Linked DNA regions of Caenorhabditis elegans. The protein of the gene in region 1 interacts with the protein of each later gene in a pairwise test. Each region holds a gene or a part of one and is shown in the gene's direction. Other genes may lie near its edges.

The links.
Region 2: the proteins of par-2 (region 1) and uev-2 interact in a two-hybrid assay, tested with the Caenorhabditis elegans proteins (one study listed by BioGRID).

The regions. Positions count from the first base shown.
Region 1 is NC_003281.10:1,077,941-1,086,567, forward strand, and holds the start of par-2 (RING-type domain-containing protein), read left to right. Parts: upstream 1-3,454; 5' UTR 3,455-3,468; coding exon 3,469-3,579; intron 3,580-3,692; coding exon 3,693-3,776; intron 3,777-5,053; coding exon 5,054-5,191; intron 5,192-6,121; coding exon 6,122-6,193; intron 6,194-6,396; coding exon 6,397-6,521; intron 6,522-8,218; coding exon of another isoform or gene 8,219-8,627. Other genes in the region: Ras-related protein Rab-18, read right to left, coding at 1,742-1,966, 2,018-2,271, 2,347-2,402, 2,465-2,541; kbp-4 (KNL (kinetochore null) Binding Protein), read left to right, coding at 2,980-3,169, 3,215-3,318; F58B6.11 (uncharacterized protein), read left to right, coding at 8,219-8,627.
Region 2 is NC_003281.10:5,579,623-5,586,971, forward strand, and holds uev-2 (UBC core domain-containing protein), read left to right. Parts: upstream 1-3,502; 5' UTR 3,503-3,518; coding exon 3,519-3,665; intron 3,666-3,772; coding exon 3,773-3,892; intron 3,893-3,933; coding exon 3,934-4,021; intron 4,022-4,113; coding exon 4,114-4,264; intron 4,265-4,404; coding exon 4,405-4,591; 3' UTR 4,592-4,900; downstream 4,901-7,349. Other genes in the region: F56D2.5 (RBR-type E3 ubiquitin transferase), read right to left, coding at 1-114, 159-311, 679-957, 1,324-1,446; F56D2.8 (DUF4440 domain-containing protein), read right to left, coding at 2,266-2,313, 2,391-2,566, 2,612-2,789; F56D2.3 (DUF148 domain-containing protein), read left to right, coding at 5,440-5,562, 6,017-6,141, 6,287-6,491, 6,539-6,768, 6,983-7,163.

The DNA.
Region 1 (8,627 bases):
GAAAATGATGGAAATAATAGAAAAATGGGTAAAAGCACACACAAAATTAGGCTGAAAATCAATAAAATTAGGTGAAAAATGACAAAAATCTCCCAAAAAAATCGATAAAAAAATAGCTGAAAATCTGCAAAAAATCGATGAAGATATGCTGAAAATCGCTGAAAACGAGAGAAAAAATAACACAAAAATCCAATAAATTACAGGAAAAATGTTGCAATTTTATAGCAAAAAAACGGGGCTTAAAGGCACTGAAAATGTGTGAAATTTGACAAGAATTATGTGAAATTGGGGGATTTTCGGGTGGTTTTTTGTACAATTTAGCGGGGAAAATGGACGAATTTTACATGAAAAATGGGGGAATTTTGGGGGAAAATCGACCTAATTTAGGTAAAAATCGATAAATTTTGCATGGAAAACGGGGATTTTTCGCGGAAAAATCGATGAATTTTGCACATTAAAAACAGCAATTTTGGGGAAAAATTGACAATTTTAAGACAAAATTGGCATTTTTACATGGAAAAGAACTTTTTTTTTAGGTGAAAATCGATGAATTGTGCATGAAAAACCAGCGATTTTAGGTCAAAATTGACATTTTACATGAAAAAAGGGCCTAATTTAGGTAAAAATCGATAAATTTTGCGTGGAAAATAGCTATTTTAAGTGAAAATCGATGAATTTTACACGGAAAAACGACAATTTTGGGGGAAAATTGGCGATTTTAGGCCAAAATTTGCATTTTTGCTCGGAAAAATGGCTAATTTAGGTGAAAATCGATAAATGTTACATGAAAATTGGAAATTTTGAGCCGAAATTGGTAATTTTACATGGAAAACAGCGATTTTGGGGGAAAATTGTCGTTTTTACATGGAAAAAATGGCATTTTTACATGAAAAAGTGTGGCAATTTTAAGCCAAAATTGGTATTTTTGTATGGAAAATAGCTTTTTTAGATGAAAATCGATAAATTTTGCACGAAAAACGGCGATTTTTGAGAAAAATTGACATTTTTACATGAAAAAGTGGCAATTTTAAGCCAAAATCGACATTTCCTCATGGAAAATAGCTATTTTAGGTGAAAATCGATAAATTTTGAATGAAAAACGGGGATTTCAGGTGAAAATTGGCAATTTCAAGTCAAAATTGACATTTTTACAGGGAAAAATAGCTATTTTAGGTGAAAATCGATAAATTTTGCATCGAAAACAGCGATTTTGATGGGAAATTGGCGATTTTAAGCCAAAATCGGCGATTTTCCATGAAAAACGGCCATTATGGGGGAAAATTTGCGATTTTAAGCCAAAATCGGCGATTTTACATGAAAAAATGGTTATTTTAGGTCAAAATTTGGCAATTTACATGAAAAAAAACGGGCTATTTTAGGTGAAAATTGATGAATTTTGCATCGAAAACAGCGATTTTGCTGGGAAATTGGCGATTTTAGGGGAAAATTTGCATTTTTACATGGAAAAAGGCCTAATTTAGGTTAAAATCGATAAACTTTGCATGAAAAACCAGCGATTTTAAGCCAAAGTTGGACATTTTTATATGGAAAAAACGGCGATTTTGAGGGAAAATTGGCGATTTTAAACCGAAATTCACGTTTTTACATGGAAAAAACAGGATTTTAGGTCAAATTTTGACAATTTACATGAAAAAAACAGGATTTTAGGTGAAAATTGATGAATTTTACAGTAAAAATATCGATTTTATGTCAAAATGAACGAATTTTCCGCGAGAATTTCCTAGCATCCACACATTCCGCCGCCACCACTGGAGCCCGTCGGTTGTCCCAACCGAAAAGACGGGCGGTCATTGTCCCATAAGTCGGGCGTTTGAATGATTTTCTCGATAAGCTCCTCAAATGTGCACTGTACACCCTCCTTAGTCTTCGCAGAAGCTTCAATGAATAGTGTGCGGTGGCGTTTTGCGAATTTTAGGCCTTCCTCGCGGGTTACCACTCGATTTGGCTGAAAATTATTTTTTAGGCCAAAAATCGAACAAAATCGGCTTTTTCGCACCATATCAATCTTGTTCGCGACCATCATCTTGATAATATTGTCATTTGTGCAATAAGTATCGACTTCTTGCATCCAATGATTCAATTTCTCGAAGGAGCTGCGGCTAGTGACGTCATACACGCAAATTACGCCCTGTGCTCCACGATAATAGCTCGGCGTGAGGGTACGGAACCTCTCCTGGCCGGCGGTGTCCCAAATTGCGAGTTTTACACGATTTCCGTCGATTGCCATTGAAGTTACGCGGAAATCCACGCCTAAAAAACAATAAATTTAGGGTTTTTTTGGCCTAAAAATCAAAAAATCCAAAAATCCCTGGAATTTCCACGAACCTATCGTTGCAGCCTGCTCAGGATCGAAGACATCGTCCACGAATCGTAGCATTAAGCTGAAAATTTTTGAATTTAAATTGATTTTTTTAAATTTTTTTTGGGCGAGAAAACCCCTCACCTCGACTTCCCTACGCCACTTTCGCCGATAATCAGGATTTTGAGAGTTGTGAGGGGGCTTGAACTGTCGTCGGACATCTGGAATTCGTAAAAACGAAGGGAAAATGCAGGATAATTTTTTTTTTGTTGGGAAATTTACGTTTTTAAGGATAAAAGATAAAAAACTCGATTTTTCAGGGTATTTTCCCCATTTTAAGTTAATTTTTTAACACTTTTAAATAGATTTTTCACCTTAAAACCCAAAAATTTGCCGAAAAATCAATAAATTTCCCTTCGAAAATGTCAGATGTCGTTGCACGAGACGCTCTTTCGGAAAAGAGAGCGATGGAGCGCACTTGCACTTGGCACGATGCCAAGTGCCTGTCGTGGTGAGACCCGATGGCGCGAAAATGGATTTGTTTGAAATTTGTTTTTTTGTTTTTTTAATTTTTAAACGTTTTTCGTGTTTTTTATTTTTATTTTTTTTGTTTTTTATAATTTTTCCAAATTTTTATCAGTTTTCAGCAATCAAAAAAAATGCAAAAATCAATCGACGACATGATCAACGAAGTTCTCGCGGTAAAAGTCGAAAAACTGCCGAAAACCCAAGATTTTTCGGATCTCCAAGAAGTTTGCGCCTCCAAACTGCAGATAATTAACAAGGAAATGGACGAGGCCGATCGGAAGCTGGAGGAGACGCTCGAGAAGCGAAAATTGGTGGAAAAACGTGAGAAATTTAGTGAATTTTCACAATAATTTTCCCATTTCCTAGAACTCGAAGACCTCCAGGAGCAGTATAAAGTCAAGGAATTCGCGTTTTCTCTTCAAAAAGAGTTTCAGGATGAGCTGAAGAAGGTCGCCGAGGAAATTTTCTAACAATTTTCATTATTTCTGTACATATAAAGTTCTGTATTCCTTAACCCCGTTGTTTTTCCCAGTTTTCTGTACTTTTCATGCATTTTATACTTATTTTTCAGCGTTTTTCAATGATTTTTCAGGCTCAAAATCCTCATTTTCAGCCCAAAAATGACGGATTTAGACACTTCATCCGCTCAAATACGGGCTTCGCAGAGCGATTTATCGATTGCCAACTCATCGCCACGTCTGCTGGAGTCCAACGCAACTACTTCTACAGCGGTAAAATCGGATTTTTAGCGGCGAAAAAAATCGAAAAAACGCATTTTTTGCTGGAAAATAAGCAGAAAATCGTGTTTTTCGCCCTGGAAACCGCCTAAAAACACAATTTTCAGTGCATCAACGACGTTCAACAGCCGGTTCGACGCGATTTGAGCTCGGAACTCCTCTGTCCACTGTGTGATCAGCTTTTCGACAGGGTTAGAACATGGAAATACCGAGGATTTCAAGAAAAATTGCGTGAAAAATGGCGGATTTTCCATTAAAAATCGCTTAATTTTACCCATTTTTGACCCAAAAATGTGCAATTTTCGTCTTTTTCCAGCTATAAATGTGAAAAATCGGGGAAAAATGCGAAATTTTCTCATAAAAACTTGAAATTCCGAAAATTGTCTTGTTTTTGCCCATTTTTCCAGATTTTCAGCCAAAAATCACGATTTTTTGGGGATTTTTAGCTAGAAAACCGCATTTTTTCCGATTTTTAGCATAATAATCACAGATTTTCTCGGATTTTTACAGTTTTTTGCCGATTTTTACGATTTTTAGACTAAAAACTTTGGATTTTTAAGATTTTCAGCACAAAAACCCCAGTTTTTCTCGGATTTTTACAGTTTTTAGCTTAAAAACCACAATTTTTCAGATTTTTTTCGATTTTCAGCTCAGAAACCCCAGTTTTTCTCGGATTTTTACAGATTTTAGCTTAAAATTTTGGATTTTTCCGATTTTTAGCCCTAAAAACCCCAATTTTGCCGGATTTTTTCGGTTTTTAGCCAAAAAACTCCAGTTTTTCCCATATTTTAACGATTTTTAGCTCGAAACCCACAATTTTTCCGGACTTTTACAATTTTTAGCCCAAAAAACCCCAATTTTTTCGGATTTTTCTGATTTTAGCTCAAAAATAACCGATTTTTTTCGGATTTTTCTGATTTTAGCTCAAAAATAACCGATTTTTTTCGATTTTCAGCTCAAAAACCTCCCATTTTTCCAGATTTTTCCAATTTTTTGCTCAAAAAACTTCAATATTTTAAGATTTTTTTCAATTTTCAGCCGAAAAATCCAAATTTTTCCGGATTTTTACAATTTTAACCCAAAAATCACACCGATTTCTGCCGATTTTTACACAATTTTTAGCTCAAAAATCACCGATTTTTCCCAGGATTTTCCCGATTTTTAACCCAAAAATCTCGGTTTCTCAGGATTTTTACAATTTTTAGCCCAAAAACTACACAGTTTTCTCCCGTTTTTTTACGTTTTTCATCTCAAAAATCACCCATTTTCCCAGATTTTTAGCTCAAGAAACCCCAGTTTTTCAGCGGAGTTTTCCGATTTTTAGCCCAAAAACCATCAATTTTCCCGGATTTTTCCAATTTTTATGTCAAAAATCCCAGTTTTCCGCCGATTTTTTCGATTTTCAGCCGAAAAACCCCATTTCTACCCTAATTTTTACAATTTTCAGCCAATTTTTCCAAATTTTCAGCCCGTAATGGTAACATGTGGGCACTCGTACTGTGAGCCGTGCATCGAACGACATACACGTGATACGAGAGCCTGTGTAATCTGTAAACTCGACGTTGGACCATTTGCAGCGATGATTCCCAGCATTACACTTGATAATGTACGACGGATTTTGATGCGAAATTCGGATTTTTCGACAGTTTTTACCCCGGAAAACCGTGGATTTTTACCTTAAAATCGCATTTGTCAGCCAAAAAACTCTAATTTTAGTCCGAAAAAACGATTTTTCACGGCAAAAACTACAAAAATACGCTTAAAAACCCGATTTTTTCCTCAAAATTTTGAATTTTGTGACTAAAAATTGCATTTTCAGCCATAAAAAGCATAGTTTTGGCTTAAAATTCAATTTTCGAAAGTTTTTAGCCTTAAAGGCCGAGATTTTGACTTAAAAATCACATTTTCCCGTGGAAAACTTGATATTTTTCAGCCAAAAAAACCACAAAAATACATTTTTCAACTTATAAATTATGCATTTTCGGTCAAAAATCCGATTTTTCCTTGAAAATCTTGCCGAAAATTCAGAAAAATGTTGACTTTTACATCTAAAATTTCTTGATTTTCGTTGGTTTTTACACTGAAAAACCGGAATTTTGACCTAAAAATAAACTTTTTCATAGGAAAACCTAAAAAATTATGAATTTTTGGGTTAAAATTCTCCATTTTCAGGGTAAAAATCTGTTGGAAGCCCTGAAAATTTTGATTTTGAAGCTATTTTTCGCATTTTTCGCAGAAAAACTCAATTTTAATCTCAAAATCCCGATTTTCCAGCTAAAAATCCCAAATTTTTGCATTTTTTCGCCGAAAAACTTAATTTTAGTCAAAAAAAATTGCGATTTTCTTGCAAAAATATCAATTTTTTGCAATTTTTACCTTGAAAACCCAGTTTTAATCTCAAAATCCCGATTTTTCAGTTAAAAATCCAAAATTTTTGCAATTTTTAGCTCAAAAACCCAATTTTCTAGCTAAAATCTCAAATTTTTGCATTTTTTCGCAGAAAAATACCAAAACATTCAACGAATTTTCGTTTCAGATGGTCCGAAAATTGAAAAACCAGGAGAATATCGAGAGCAGCTACGACGATTTGTTCATTTGTGAGGAAAAGGTTGAGTTTTTGCAGGAAAATGCGAATTTTCAGGGTTTTTGAGTGAAAAAATCATGAAAATTAGGTGTTTTTGACCCCAAAAGTCGGGTTTTTTCACCATTTTCAGTTGAAAAATCGTGGTTTTCCACTTTTTTTAAAGCTTAAAAACCCCCGATTTTCCCAATTTTTACCCCCTAAAAACCCGGATTTTTCACTATTTTCAGCTCCAAAAAGCGCCAACACCACCAATTTCGGAGGAAATTCCGGCTCAAAAAATGACGAGAAGCCTGTCACAACGGTCTAAACGACGCTTATTCTTCTCAATTGCGGGCCCAACGATTTGCTCGAGGTAGATGGCTGGAAAAGAGCTGAAAAAAGGCTGAAAATCTGGAAATTTCAGCTAAAAATATGGAAAAATCGCTGAATTTCAGTAAAAATCTTCGATTTTCAGCCAAAAAAGTCAATTTTTCAGTTAAAAAAAGCGAAAAAAATGCAGAAAAATTCGATTTTTCAGTCAAAAACCTCAATTTTTGAGCTTAAAACTCAATTTTTCCCTGTAAAAATGTGATTTTCCCTGAAAAAAACCTAATTTTTCAACTATAAATGAGTAAATCTCAGAGAAAAATGTAAATTTCCTGATTTTTCCGGAGAAAAATCCACTTTAAACCCAACAAATTGGAGAAAAAATAAAAAAAAAATCCAATTAAAAATCAAATTTTTGCGAAAAATGCTAACATTTCTAATGAAAACTGTAAAAATTGCAGAAAAATTCGATTTTTCAGTCAAAAACCTCAATTTTTGAGCTTAAAACTCAATTTTTCAACCAAAAAATGCGATTTTCTCTGAAAAAAACCTAATTTTTCAGCGAAAAAAGAGTAAATCTCATAGAAAAATGTGATTTTCCTAATTTTTCCTGCTAAAAATCTGAAATTCTGTTCAAAAATTTGATTTTTCGGGAAAAAAACTATAAAAATTGCGGAAAAATCCGATTTTTCGGTCAAAAACCTGAAAATTTGAGTTTAAAATTCAATTTTCGCCCAATTAAAACGCGCGTTTTAAAAAATCGATAATTGGTGTCATGGTGCACCCGTTTCGTAGCCTTTTTTGGTTAAAAATATCGATTTTACCCCCGAAAAATGCTAATTTTCGACGGAAAACGCGATTTTTAACCTCTTTTATGATTATTTTACACATTTTTTTGTTTTTTTAGTGATATTTTCGAGTTTTTTCCAGGATTTCAGCCAATTTTTCACTCTAATTTTGGTATTTTTCAAGTTTTTCGCCAGTTCCTCGGATTTTTTCGGTCAGTTTGGAGCATTTTTCATCGTTTTTCATGGATTTTCGCCGATTTTCTTGGATTTGTGACATTTCTCTGCAATTCGGCAGTTTTTGCTCAATTTTTGCTCAAATTTCCTGTATTTCCTTGGCTTTTCCCCCAGTTTCCAGCTCAAGTTGGAACAATTTTCTGCCAATTTTCATTGATTTGAGAGACTTTTTTCTACAATTTTGTCGTTTTCGCACCAATTTTTGACCAATTTTCCGCCAATTTCCTATATTTTTCCGATAATTCCTCCACCCTTCAGGCTTTTCCCGAAATTGTGCTCAATTTGGAGCAATTTTCCACCACGATTTTCTGGATTCTATTGAATTTTTGACAATTTTCTCGATTTTCCGCCGCTTTTCCGACAATCTCCACCATTTCTGATAAACTTTTGCTCTTTTTACCCACATTTTCCGGTGAATTTCTCCGATTTTCAGTCATTTTTTCGCTATTTTCACTCAATTTCGCCCCTTTTCTTCGAATTTTCGCATTTTCCTCCCGTCTTTTCTGAAAATTTCCAGGAAATGGCTCGTTTTCCGATAATATCCTCGATTTCCTGGCTTTCCCCGAATTTCTGCTCAATTTGGAGCAATTTTTTGCCGATTTTTTCACAACTTCCTCGAATTTTCTCAATTTTTCACCGATTTCCGCCGATTTTCATGGATTTTATGCCATTTTCGCCCCTTTTTCCTCCGTCATTTCTGAAAATTTCCAGAAAACCCCCAATGTCTCACAAGCGATACACAATCGACGAGGCGAGCGAAGTGATGAAGTCGTTTAACCAGCAAAAATACGTGGATCTTCGCGAAAGTTCGGTAGAAAGTGACCGAATGTTGGAGGAAATGCTGGAAAAGCAGAAGCAACTCGTCTGGAAATCCGTTCGAATCGCCAGAATCTCCCGGGAGAAGGATCGGGCCGAAAAGACTGAGACACTGATGGAAGAGGTTCGATTCTTCTGGAGCATCGAGATGCAGTGTAGGCATGCGGTGGAGGATTGGAAGCGTCGGAAGCGAGAGAATGATCGGAAGCGTCGGACAGACAAAGTGGTGACAGAGACATTGGTGCAGAAGAAGAGACGCAGGAAGGTTGAGGAGGAGGTGGAGGAGGATCAGATGGAGGATCGGAATGAAGATC
Region 2 (7,349 bases), 4.5 Mb from region 1:
CACAAACCCCTTGGCAATAGAAATATAATAGTTGAAAGTGCAGGATTTGCAGAAAACATGAGAACATGGCTGGAACTTTATGCAGTGCTGTCCCATTTGGGATTCGAAGCATACCTGGAAATTTTGATGAAAAATTAGAAAAAAAATACAAACGTTACTTGGCAATCGTAGAGGGTATTAACAAACTGTTCTTCAACAGCTTCCTCTTCTTTCTGTAGTATTTTCATTTTCAGAGATTCGATAGTCTCTCCTTGTCTGTTCAGTGCACATGCCTCGTTCAAATTTATAATTTTCGGAGTGTTCTGGGCCATCTGAAATTTGATAGTTGAAAAAGACGCCAGCTGCTTGAATCAAAGAACGTAGCAGTCGACATTCCGCAGAATTAAAAAAGTTAAATTCTGCATGAGATATCTAGATTTAAATTCGCTCAAAGGCATACCCGTGAGATGTCGGTCTTCTAATCAACATCCTACTTCTAATGAATATGTAATTTCTACTATCTGTGTAGACCGTTACATCTCAGAACGCTTTGCAGACGACATATCGCGGGTAGCCCATCTATGTCATTCAATAACGAACCAGCAAAATGTCGGCTGCAGTTAAATTTAGCAGAGGACACCTTACGTGTCTGAGATGTCGGCTCATAATGGTGCTTTTTATTTGATTCTCGCTACTCACCAAATCAATTATTGTCTGGTAGCACATAAAAAGCACCTCCATCATCTGGTTTTCCTCGCAAATCTTTGCCAACTCGGTTTCACAAGATGTCATTTGTTCCTGATTCATCCAATAACTTTCCAGTTCAAGTTTTGGTGATGATACGGTGGGATAATCATTTGGAAGATGGAATTTTAGTCGAATTGGAGGAAGAATGTCAAGAGGAAGATGAAATTGATCGCCGGAGTCAGATGTTCCTTCAATTGTGACTGTTGGATCGTATAAGTTGTCAAATCCGACCTGAAATTGCACTTGACTATTCTAAAACTCATTTAAAAAAACCAACTAACCAACTTTCAACCGTAACTTAGTGACTCTTCTAAAAAATACTTTACTCCATATATGGCCATATTAGTTTATCTCGTACAGGAAAATAGTCAACCGTGGCCAAAATTTCGGGCTAATGATTATGGAGGCTATTGAAATTTTCTATACTTTGTTACCTTAAATATTTTTGATAACTTACATAATTACGTAGAAAGTGTAGCTAAAATATAGTAAGGGTAGTTTCAGATAAATAATTTTTTGTTGTTATTTAGTGGACATTAAATTACTTTTTTAAAAGTTAAAATACCCCAGCTTCTCTCAAAAAACCAAAATCTTTACCTCAATAATTCCCTGGATTTCAGCATTCTTATCACTCCAATCACTGGATTTCGCCAGTTTCTTCTCTCTTAGAACACTTTCCAATGCTTCCAATTCATATATTTGCAGGTCACGATCAGTCATTTTTTATCGATTTTTAGACAAGAGACGCAGAGATTCAATAGACGGAGTTTAGGTAATTTAGAAATGAATGTTCAGGAATTTATAGAAAATATTTTACATTATTAGTCAAAAATGTTCAAACAATATATGAGGAAAGTTTGCGGAACAAAAATCAAAATTAATTACTAAAATATTGCGAAATATTGCAAAATTGTAATGAGTAAAATTGCGCAATGTGATAGATAACCTGTTGTGGAAACGATGAGAAATACAATTTGAAACTTTAAATTTAGAGTATTATCAGTGAGAAATTGTTCAACTTAAATTGTGTTTTTCTCTACGTGATGTGTACTTTAATTGCGTTTCAATTGTTTGTATTTAAACAATCGAAGAGTTCAAATTTGCAGCAATGCTTGAAATTGCCCCCAAAAGTTCAATTTTTCAATTTGCCAAACCTTTCACTAAAATTTTTGAAAAATGTATCTATCCATGTACCTTATTCTTCAGGAATTGATAAAATCTATCGATTCATAAAAAACTAAAGCTATTCCAACAGAATAGAAAAACACAATGTTCAAAAATGAAAGAATATTAAAATCATGTGAAAAGGGAAAACTTCCAGAAAGTCGACTCTTCTCGTTTACTGCGTTTTGTGAATATCTGAAAACTTTGTACGGATTTGTTACCATTTCTTCAATAGGCCGTGTATCATTCTGTCAATTTTTGGTGGATAGGTAAAATGTAACAGCCAATTTGATTTCTGAAAAGTTTTCGAAACATTTTTAAATATATTTAAAACATTTATTTAGGTCATACAAGTCCCGATATTCGAATATGAAACTACATCCAATCACTGAAGTGCACCATTGTCCAGCCTTTCCATTTGTTCTGCAAATTAAAATTTATCTACAAATCTATTCTGGTGATTGCGGCTGGATAAAATTTTAGTCCAACTCCCTGATTACCTCGTATTTTATCTTGAAAATAGTCGTTTTTTTGGACAAAAGGGGCGTGTTGGGGTAATATCTGACATTAATCTGAATGACTCCATACTCGTAGCGAACTCGTTCAATTATTCCGGTCGGATAAGATTCAAAAGATTTGATGATTCCCTGTGCCGCTTCAATCATGCCACTGACAGCTGAAAATAACTAAATTTCAAAATTGTTTCTGATATCGTACTTACGAAGCATATCATCCGGAGCAAAAAGATCCACTACTGCAACTGGGTCCCCTGATTTGATAGCTGCCTGGAACTTTTCGAAGAACTCCTTCGGTACGTTGGCATATTCTTCGGGGACTGGATCCAATGAAAAGACAATAGAAGCACTTGAAAGAGCTAGAAGAAAAATTGGAAGACGCATATTTTGGTTTGGCTACATGGCGAACTGAGCATTTTTATAGTTCGAAATGCTAATTCAATTAGAATGTGAAAATTGTCAATCAATGCGGAGGTTGATGTTTGGTGTCGTATTGATGATCATGATCATTTTGGGCATTTTGAAGACACCACATGGGTTCTGCCGCGTACGGTATCCGGTCTCGTCATGATAAATTTTAGCTGAATGAAAAAGCGTGTGCAGTGTGTGGCAGAGGAGTTGCGTCATTCCACGTTTAAAAGTGTGCCCAACATCAGATATACCTTTAATCCTCCAACCCGTCGGAATCAAGTAGCTCACACACACACACACACATACATAATCTGAGAGCACGTGTAGTTTTTGTTACATGCTCAATTCTAAAACAGAGGGCGCGAGAGAGAAAGAGGCCATCTCTAGGACAACGTACTAATGATAGAGAGACGGCATCCGCTTCTGTGTGATTATGTAGCTCTTTTTCTCTCGTACCTGCCTCTTCTTCAACTTGTGATATTATCCCACGTATTCATACTCTCTTCTTCACTTTTTGTTTGAAGCTTCTGGTTGCCTTAGGCCTCGTGGGATAATATGCAACGTTTTGTGCGCTTTAAGAATATATTCACTGTAGCTTTTTCAAATAAGATCCAGCTTAGGTTCAGTTAACGCGGCTCCGGAAGCTTCGTCACGAATTGGATTACTTTGACTTTCCAGATTAGAGCTTAAGCTTTCAGAAACATGCGAAGACGTAGCAACAGACAATATGTTGATCTCTCATATTTTCGCGAAACTGCCGATGCGCTATTATTCGACGTTGAAACCAATTCACGCGAATTCACCAATGAAATCAACACTGTGAAGGAGGAGAAAGCCAAGTGGGATGAGGTAAGCTTTCACACAAAGTTTAACTCGCCTGCCTACCTGGGACCTAGGCCTGATTTATGCCTACTTCAAAAGTGGGCGTGGCATGTGTCGAAATAACTTTTTTTCAGAGAACACCGCAAGGGTATACGGCAAAGCCAATTAGTTTTGAGGGCGCAGACATATGGTGTTCTTGGATATGTACAGTACCTGGACCGAGAGGAAGCCCCTGGGAGGGAGGGGAATATGAGGTTTAATTACTTTTTAGTTCGCAAAAGTATATTATCTCCAGGTTTCCGTGAACTTTCACAAATGGCCTATAATTCCGCCAATTTGTGAATTCAAAACGCCGCTTCATCATCCGAACGTGGACCTCAGAGGTTGGTTAGAACTGTTTCGAAAAAATATGTTTGAGTGTGAAATACAGAAAACGGTAGCAAAAAGAAACGCATTATTACAAAAATCTTTACAGGATCAATTTATCTTAAAATGCTGGAACAAGAGCACTGGTCTTCTGAAACTTCACTCAAGAAACTTCTGAGGGAAATCAGCAATCTACTTGCAACGCCCGATCTTACTCAAGCTGCAAATATTGAAGCCTGGATGGAATATGAGAATCAGCGGTTAGATATATTTTAACGGCGCACAGCTGCAAATGTGAACAAACTCGGCCACCTATTCTTCTAGGCCACTTCGATTTGGAGCTAAGCGTCGTTGAACAGAGAAAAGAGAACACTTAACTTTTAAAATTATCTTGTTCCAGTGAAAATTACGAGGCTAAAGCTCGAGCTTATGCTTGGACAGTTAACCCGAACGCCGTGGGATACATGGAAGTATCCGAGAATTCCGGAATTCAGAGGGAGACAGCAAAGGCTAAGTTGGCAGTGCAAAATGGTGCCATGGAATCGGACGAGGATGATGACGATCTACCAATTGACATCGAAAACTAATATTACACAAATTTTTATATTTTTGGTATTGGCCAACGTTTTCTGTTGAAGACCTTTTCCACTTTCTCAAAACTTTCTTGCCGACACTCTATGGAATTTTTCAGATTTTTCTCCAAAAAGGTGCCAATTTTCTATACACATTTATTTAAATCCCAATGCCCCTTTTTTGCAGCAAACTTACCTGACCTATGTGATAATTTTTCCCATTTTCCCTACTTTCCCGATCACACCAATTTTTCATTCTCTTTCCAAAACCATGTCTTTTTACGAAAAAAGTGATTATTGTACCAAATAAAGCTATTCCAAACTCGTTGAGTCGGGGTGTCCTCCCATTATCTCTTAATGAAATGGCAGAACAAGAATAAATCTACGTAGTCAACATTTGTAGGCAGGGAGGTATGCTTGACTAAGCTCCAGTCTACTAAGGATTTAAAAAACTCGGCCACCGATTTCTTGTTCTCGGCCACGTTGCAATGAACCGCAATGCCCTTCAAAAAGAGGTGATACTCGTGATTGCACGTCATTACCTCATCCCCAATGTCTATATTTACTTCTCCCGCACACCTTGTCAGATATCTGCACTGTTCATGGTGTGCTCATCGCCTCGCGGAGAGAGCTCTAACCCAAAAGTTTTAAACGTAAAAAGCCGGAAACGGTATAGGTTTATCGGTTCACCGAGAGCGCGCCTAGATCGTGTGGTACCGCCCCTCCTCGCCTCCCGTCAAAGGTCTCTATTTACTCCCAAACAGTGTGCTCTCGGAGCCTCCCGATCCCCCTCGCTGACCATTGTCCACTCCACTCGACCGTGCACAGTTGACTCCTTTTTTTGTACTAGTCGGTTGTTGGAAATGAAACGTATTCTTTTGATTTCTCTATTTTCGGCGGTTGTCAACGGCTTTTACTACAAGAGAACTTTATACGGAGATGCTAATGAGGGAGCTGCCATGCCAGACTATGTTAATGCTTATTATGTGAGTTTTCTTGGCTTGTAGGATTTTTAAGTGGCAGTTTCGGCAGAGATTTCACATCTAAAATATAGTTTTTGAGTTGTTTTGCAACAAGTCAGCCAAAAAATCGGTGGCCGAGTTTTTTGCTTTCCGCGGCCACGTAGCGAAAATCCCAAGGTTAATTATTACAAGGTCACAACCATTTCGGTATGTTGTGTAGATTTTTCTAATTGAAACTAGATCAGAACACAAACGCCTGCTTGCTTGCCTTCATTCACCTACGCTTGTATCAAGATTGTGCACATTGAAAGTAGGCGTGTAGACAGGCACGTAGGTACCAAGGACTGAAGATTTCATGAAAACAACACCAAACACCAGAGTCCAGCAAGAAAAAAAACCAAAAAATAATAGGCAAGCTTTCATGAAAACGAGTCTGCCTACCAAGCCTTATTGAAAATTCTGAACATTCATTTTCCAGGGTTTTCCAACAATCCCAACACAAGAGCCACGTCGGCGACCATCTTTCAACATGAATCCACCACAAGGATATTTTCATCGGGAGCATCCATTTGACTTTGGGCCATTTGGTTATATGAGAGCAAGGTAAGTTCCGGAATAGGTGGCCAAGTTTTATCTCCTCGCGGCCACTTAGTAAAAAACTGACCGTAGCGCCAGATTACAACGATAATCTATTCAAAACTCACTTTAGACGGTACCTTAGCAACAAATAATCTTGATTTTCCTTCAGAATTGGAGAAGCCAACTTCGGTGAGCCCATGGAGAAAACTGACCGCGAGCGAGCTATGGAACGGGCCAAACCGGGATTTTGGCGTCAAAACCAACGCGAAACCATGGATCGGATCAAGAAAATTATTGGAGAGCAGAGAATGAATATGGAGCAGAAGCAAATGCATATTCGAAGAGTTCTAGCAAATGAGAGTGATGAGATAAGGGTAAGAAGATAAATAATTTTTTCTCAACAAACACAAACATTTTTCAGTCCAAATTCGCTGATATTCACAAAAGACTGATCATGAAAAACAACAAGATGACCGTCTCCTCTCCAGTTCCAGAGCTTAGCAAACAGGCGAAGAAGCTTGAGAAAGAGGCCAAGAAAATTATGGAAAACAAGAAAATGAGTGTAGAGAAGAAGCAGGAGAAACTTGACAAACTTATGCTTAAGGCTCCAGAGAACGTTAAGAATGAGCTCAATGCTATGAACGATTCGGGGTGAGCATTGAGTTTTTCATGGTAGGCAAGACGCGCATGTAGGCAGGCGCAGGTTGCATGGGAGGCAGGAAGCAGGCGTTACATGGTATTCCTAAAAAGATTCCAATCCGTGTAACACTCTCGGAGAATTCAATCATATCAAAATTGATTGATGCTTAGTCGATTTTTGTGTTTCTCCTCTATTGCTCTCTTCGAAAAATCTCAAATCTTTCAGATCAACACCTGCCCCAATTCAAGCTCCATTCCCAGCTCCAGGACAAACCGAGGCTCTTAATCGGGCAAACCCATCAATGGCTTCTCAAGTTGAAGTAATGACTCGTAATGCACCAACTCAAGCAGTGGTTGAAGCTCGTCAAATCCGAGTTTCCGAAGATGGAAAAACTGTGGAAATTTAAATAATCTGTGCTCTATGAGCAATTCTTCTTTTTGTGTATTTTACGTCTAATTTTCTCAACTGCCCAACGTCTTTCCCTTGTGCTCCATCCCCAGAAACGACGAGCTATCTGACTGTATATACAAGTGATTTCAGCTCGGCGTTTGCTCACCTGCTCAGTTCGCCTTCTGTAAATATAACCTTAATC